Regions from separate parts of the Mus musculus genome. Here region 2 is reported to be linked to region 1. The links are microRNA targets in miRTarBase. Many come from high-throughput screens and were not tested one by one. Region 1 holds a microRNA gene; the other region holds the end of a gene's coding sequence.

The links. Region 1 holds the annotated microRNA mmu-miR-3078-5p (CAAAGCCUAGACUGCAGCUACCU, at 2,156-2,178, shown strand). A microRNA usually pairs through its seed, bases 2 to 8, with sites in the 3' UTR of a target mRNA and lowers its output. Matches are read on the target gene's strand: a 7mer-m8 pairs with bases 2 to 8, a 7mer-A1 pairs with bases 2 to 7 and ends in A, and an 8mer does both.
Region 2: miRTarBase lists Sspn as a target of mmu-miR-3078-5p. Seed matches in the 3' UTR shown: 7mer-A1 at 1,289-1,295.

What each region holds. Positions count from the first base shown.
Region 1 is chr14:64,589,045-64,592,561 of GRCm38, forward strand. It overlaps Mir3078 (microRNA 3078), which reads left to right and starts at 2,141; the gene lies at 2,141-2,227. Mir124a-1hg (Mir124-1 host gene (non-protein coding)) reads left to right here. Exons shown (of 4, transcript NR_040709.1): 3 at 797-915; 4 at 1,229-3,517. It overlaps Mir124a-1 (microRNA 124a-1), which reads left to right and starts at 1,613; the gene lies at 1,613-1,697.
Region 2 is chr6:145,960,914-145,963,913 of GRCm38, forward strand. It overlaps Sspn (sarcospan), which reads left to right. Exons shown (of 3, transcript NM_010656.3): 3 at 217-3,000. The coding sequence ends at 582. Among named protein-coding and RNA genes, the nearest start is that of Gm32838, 6.5 kb to the right of the region's middle.

The DNA of each region.
Region 1 (3,517 bases):
ACCCTGTGGGGTGGGTGGGAAGCTGAACGGAACCGATCCAGTTAGATTTAACTTGTCCTCTATGCCCTCTACCTGGCTTTTTTGAGCCATTGGGAAGGAGAATGGGGAAGGCTTAGAAAAGAGAAAGGGGGGGGGGGGACGACTGCCTGAAAGGATAAGGCACTAGTAGGGAGTGGGATGGACCAGGTGAGGGAGGTCTGTGGGTTAGGAAGCACCTTCCTCACTCTGGTGCACTGGGTGGGTTTGTTCAGGGAATGGCAACGTGGGTGTCTGTTGAAAGCAGTCTTGTGAAATTGACATGTACATGCATAAGGTGACTGGACTTGTGTGTAAACAGAGTGATGGAGAGCAGAGAGGGAGGGGTCTTAAAATAATATTTTATTGTCCCTATGGATTTGGGGATCTCTCCCCCACCCCACCCAGCTACATTCTATAGGGGTGACCTTTTAAAATCTACACCCACCCTTTACCTCTGTAAAACCGGTTGACGGGTGGGGTGGGGGAACATGTAGGGGTGCGCGCTCTCTCTCTCTCTCTTTTCCCCCTCCCCCCTCCCAGTCTCCCTCCTCCCTCTGTCTCCCCCTCCCTCTCCCTTCACTCCTCCCTCTCTCGCTCTCCCTTCGCTCCCCCTCCTTCTCTGTCCCTCCCTGCTGCATTTTGCATGAGCTATCTAGGTCATTAGCATTTTAGCGTATGCAAGACTTGACAAGGCTGATGAGGGGCCAGATGGGCCTCGCTCTTATTTATTTATTTTTTTTTTCTTTTCCTTTTTCCCATCCACCACTTGGGACCTAAGCGAGAGGACCGCAGCAGGAGAGTTCCGGAAGGCTGATTCCCACAGATCCTGGTAAGGGACCGCAGCAGCTCTGCCCTGCGGCACGCCCGGCCAGGCTACACCCGGACCCTACACTCAAGGTAAAGGCGGCGGTCACAAGCCCTGCCCAGGCAGCAGTAGCTGGGCCCCTGCTTCCCATCCCTTTCCTCTCCGTCATCTCCCTCCTCCTGGCCCCCCTCAGTTTCCTAGGCGAAGCTGAGAGCGAACTGGGTGGGTAGGATTCGCTGCGGTGGGGCGAGGTGGGGTTGATGTTTTTTCATTGTCTGGAACTGCAGGGGAGGCGAAGCGCGAGGAGAGGAGTGAGGGAGTCGGGGTAATTAACACGGGGGAGGCACCCCTCCGTCTCCCACTTCCACCCACATCCCGAACCCTCCACCCCCCTCCCCTTTGCAGGAAAAAGCTTGGAAACGAAAGGATGCGGGAGAACAAAGAGCCTACGGAGGACGTGGCTGTTATCTCATTGTCTGTGACTGGGGGAGCTGCGGTAGGAAGGATGCGGTGGTCCTTAGCTCATCGCGTTCCCCAACCCCACACCCTCCCTGCTGTCAGTGCGCACGCACACGCACGCGTCGCCAGCTTTTTCTTTCTCATCTCTCATTTTTTTCATCTCATCTTCTCCCCATCCCCTCCCTTTCTTTCCACCTTTCCTTCCTTTCTTCCTCCCTTCCTTTCTCCCATCCTCCCTCTCTTCCATCCTTCCTTCCTTTCCATCCTTCCTTCTTTCTTTCCTTCCTTCCTTCTTTCTTTCCTTCCTTCCTTCTTCCTTCCTCAGGAGAAAGGCCTCTCTCTCCGTGTTCACAGCGGACCTTGATTTAAATGTCCATACAATTAAGGCACGCGGTGAATGCCAAGAATGGGGCTGTCTGAGCACCTTGGGTCCACGAGGGCCTGCCACGGAAGGATCGACCCAGCACAACGCCCTGGGCAGATCTCAGCGCTGCAGCTGCAGGCGCCCACAGTACGGGTAGCAGGCTTCTGAGTGCCTCGCAAAGTAGCCCTTAGGGTGGGGAGGTGTGCAGCTACCGACAGAGAGGGGTTTGTGCAGATGCAAATAGAATCTAGGAAGCAAACAACTCATTCTGTGACAGAAACACGGATCTATGCAAGCGGGGGGGTGGTGGTGGTGGTGGCGGCGGCGGCGGCGGCGGCAGAAAATAGCCTGGGGACGGCTGGAGAGTAAAATGTGCCCCTCAGCTCTGGGACCCTGCCCATTGTAGAAGGCCGACACCTTCATCCCTACCTGTCTTAGTTCCGGATTTCAATTTATTACCCTTAAACAAATAATAATAACCAAGTACCCATGCGACTGGCAGACTGCCCCAAAGCCTAGACTGCAGCTACCTTGTATTGTGCTTGGGGTTGCTGGGGTAGTCTTTAGGGGAAGCTGTTTGTCACCCGTTGGTGGAGAGCTGTGGGCATTTGACAAGCTTAAACAGATCTCTGGAGTGAGCGAAGGCGATCGGCAAATTTGTTCATGGACAGCGCACAGACTCCATCAAAACTGACAGCTAGCCCACTGCTCTAAAGCAGGGCCTCCCAGCCTCCTTGGGGCTGTGGCTGAAGTTTCAGGCAGAAATCCAGAAGCTACAGGAAAAGGAGGCGCAGCCCACCCCCAGCCCCCAGAGTGTGGGCCTCTCCCCATCGCTCTTAAAACCCCAAGACAGAAGGAAAATCAGCATGAGTAAGGTGGAGGCCTAAGGAAAGTCTGTTTTGAAGCAGGCTGTCCAGGAACAGAAAGGGTTAATCCTCCCTCATCCTGAAGCACCTGCTTCCCAAATCAGCCCCCAACAGCAGCAGCTGGTCCTGGAGGCCCCCGACACAGTTCCATCCCGTCTCCATCTCAGTGTTCCGCCAACCTGCAGTGGATGGATGATGGCCTGGTGGCCGACCTAAACTCATTAATTTTCAGGTGGAGTAAATGGAGGAGGGGCAGGACCCAGCAGCAGAGGGAGGGAAAGGAGGCCAAGAGCTGGCCTCCTCCCCCCCCCCACAACCCACCCCCAGGAAGCAGGCTGTAGCCCTCCCCCCTGCTGTCATGCCAGAGGCCTGCCTTTGCAAGGCCAAGCCCATGAAGGATGTTTAGGAGTTTAATCTGATTCCTAACACAGTAATCAGGGTCTAAAAGAGCATCCGTTGAAGTTAATGGAGGACTCTTGTCTCAAAAAGCCTCAGCCTCATCTAGTCTAGTAAATTAGTATTTGAGGGTATATCATAGATCAGTACCTCTCTGGCCTAGTTTCCTCAAGAGTATTCATTATTTCTTGAGTATCTACTATGTGTCCTTCTTTACGATGATTTCAACTTCTAAATTTCCTCACAGAAGAGAATGTTAGAGCTAGCCAGGCTGAGCTTCAATTTACCACATTCCACCTAGGCATTCCCAGAACCTTCTCCCGCTCTGCAGAAATAAGCCACCGCCTGCTTACTCTTGCAGGCAGAAAGCTGCAGTGCCCACACCCTGAGGGTGTCTCTGGCTGAGTCCTACCGGACAAGCCAGACTGCTTTCAAGGCAGAAAGGGAAAGACCCAGCCACAATGGCTGTCCTAAGAGACGCCATAGCCATTGCTTCGAGAAAATCTACCTCCCTTGAAATAAAAATTGGCCCTTTCCTGGGGTGCTCCCTCACTTCACAAATGGGTTAGAAGAGAACGGCTAGTGTGCTGTACCATTTTGGGGGTACAC
Region 2 (3,000 bases), not on the chromosome of region 1:
TGGGAATTCAAGATCACCCTCAACTATAGAGATAGTTTGGGGTCAGCCTGGGGTACTCTGTTGCAAAAGTCAGTGATTTAACTAAACAGTGGGACGTAATATCCTTGGCTTTGGTTGTTAGGTTTTGAGAAGAGACTGGCCCTTGCCTGGGAGAACTCAGTCAAACAGGGTTGGCCAGTCCTCTCTGTAACAGGAAGCATTTCTTTTCTCTTGCAGGTATTCTACTTCCTGTTGAGTGCCCTCGGCCTGATGGTCTGCATGCTGGCTGTGGCCTTTGCCGCCCACCACTACTCCCTGCTTGCGCAGTTTACCTGCGAGACCTCCCTGGATTCTTGCCAGTGCAAGCTGCCTTCCTCGGAGCCGCTCAGCAGGGCCTTTGTTTACAGGGATGTGACTGACTGTACCAGCGTCACTGGCACTTTCAAATTGTTCTTAATCATCCAGATGGTCCTAAACCTGGTCTGTGGCCTCGTGTGCTTGCTGGCTTGCTTTGTGATGTGGAAACACAGGTACCAGGTCTTTTATGTGGGTGTTGGGCTGCGCTCCCTGATGGCTTCTGATGGCCAGCTACCAAAGGCCTAACAGGTTGGCTCAGAGGGAGACAAGCTCAGAAACGGCACACCCACTGACTAGGCAAGGTGAAAAAAACCACAATTTTGTAAAGGCAAACTTTTGACAACGAATACTTTTTCATTCTCTAAATGTGTATTTTTAGATTTTTTTTTCAGAAAACAAAACAACTTGTTTTTTGGATCTCTATTGTACTTTTTAAAAACTTCTTGTGAGGACAGGGGTGGAGAGACGGCTTACAAGTGAAGAGGACTTGCTGCTCTTGCGGAGGACTCGGGTTCAAGCTCAGTTCCGGAGCCCAAGTTCAGTGGCTCACAGTTACCTGTACCTCCAGCTCCGGGGACATTGGGAGCACACGCATGCGCACACGCGTGATTTAGAGAATCTAACCTATTTTTAAAGTTCTAATGAGAAACAAGATTCAAATTGACTTGGTGAACACCGAAAGGAAAAGAACACCAGACAGGGAAGAGATGACCTAGAGCCAGCGCTAGCTCTGGTGTTTATCCCAGCCGCCCTTACATCCTCACCCTCCTCCGCCTTCCCGTTAGTCCAGTGCGATGGTGTGAACTGGCATCACCCATAGACTCTAGAGTCTTCCGGCTCCTCTACCACCTGCCATTATCCCCGTGGTGTCTTGGGAAAGGTCTAAGGAAAGCTGGATCTCAGTTGAGTGCTTTTATGTTTTCACAGTGGAGATGTCTTCAAGGCATGAAATGGCTTTAAAAAAAAAAAACTAGTTGAACAGGAAGGCTGAGTGATTCTGAACACCTGGGCTGGGGTGCAGACTTCCGGTTGCCTTAGCTCCGATCCACGAGTGGGCTGCAGCCTCCGTGAGGTCTGATTCACCATAATTGAAAGGTGGTGCTGTTGCATTCTTAACGACGAGGAAAGTTTAAAAATAATTATATTATGCCTCTAGTCTGTCATCTAAAACAAATCATTAAGACTAATTTCCAGCTAATTGTTCATTATAATTATGCTCAGGATTCTGTTTAATGAGCTCTGGCTGTTCTTAGGCAGCACCGTTGGTGTTAGGAAAAATTACAGCCACAAGGGAAGATGGCTGAAGATCCACTTTCCTGGAAATCATCCACTGCAAAAAATGATCTTGTAAAACATTGAAACACTCTCAGAGGGGAAACAACCAAGAGCATTTGTCACAGGAAATGCTTATATTAACAACACATTTGTGATATTGAAAAGTATCTCCCAGGACCACCAAGTACCTTTGATGGGATTGGGTACTAAGTCCTGTCATACACATGGACTTCCTGGGAAATCCTAGTAATGAGGGCTTTTACAATTGACCTAGAGACAGAATGTCTCAAAGCCCTTGTTTGGGTGATACGTCCACAGTTAGGGTATTCAGTCTCAGTTTAGAGTTAAGACATGGTACTTGGTTAAGACAGACTTTGCTATGTAATTGGGTAAAATTCCACCAAAAGGAATGGGGTGGTGGTGGCACATGTCTTTAATTCCGGCACTTGGGAAGTAGAGGCAGGTGTATTTCTGTGAGTTGAAGGCTAGCCTGGTCTACAAAGAAAGTTCTAGGACAGCCAGAGCAGAGAGAGAAACCCTGTCTTGAAAAAAACAAAACTTAACAAACAAAAACAAGAAAAAAAAAGGGGGGGGGACTGCTTTCAGACAAAATTGCATGAATGCCACAGTAAGCTTCCTGGTACTAACCTGGGAAACCTTTAGTGTTTGTTAAGAATAACCAGCTCCGGGCTGTGGAGATGGCTCAGTTATCAAAGTCCTTGCCATCCCAGTAAGAACCTGATCCCATGTAAAACAGCCAGGCACAGGTGTGTGCTTGTGATCCTGGCATTGCAGAGGCAGAGACAGGCAGATCCCTGGGGCTCCTTCACCAGCCATCTTTAGTGTAGTGATTAACTTCAGGTCCATGATGAGAGAGTTTGTCTCAAGAAAAAAACCAACACTAAAAATAACCCGGAGTGGATAGCTGGCCCCTGGCCTTCCCATGAATGCACACACACAGTTAAGAGTAACCAATCTCACGCTGACTTTCGATAGTTTTCTATAAAACATGGTACATGGTAGAGAATCCAGGATGTCACGGGCTGTCCTTTCAAAGTGACGCTGTTTTCACGCCTGTTACTGTGCACCCAGCCCTGCTGGAAGCACACACAGAATGCCTTTGTCCAACAAACTCAACAGGTTTTTGTTTTTGTTTTTTAAATGAGGAAATTAAGATTCCCCCACACAGTTAAGTTGCTCTAAGCTTTACAAACGTATGCTTTACAAACAACTCACGGGGGGGGGGGGCATTTTAAAGGGTAGAGCAATTTTAGCCTGTGGGTTTCTTACTTTTCTAACACAACCAAGGCTTGGGGTGGTTCCAGCTTATAATATTCTGTCTGCATAAGATGGGGATTTTACTATTATGATCAAATTATTAACTTCCCA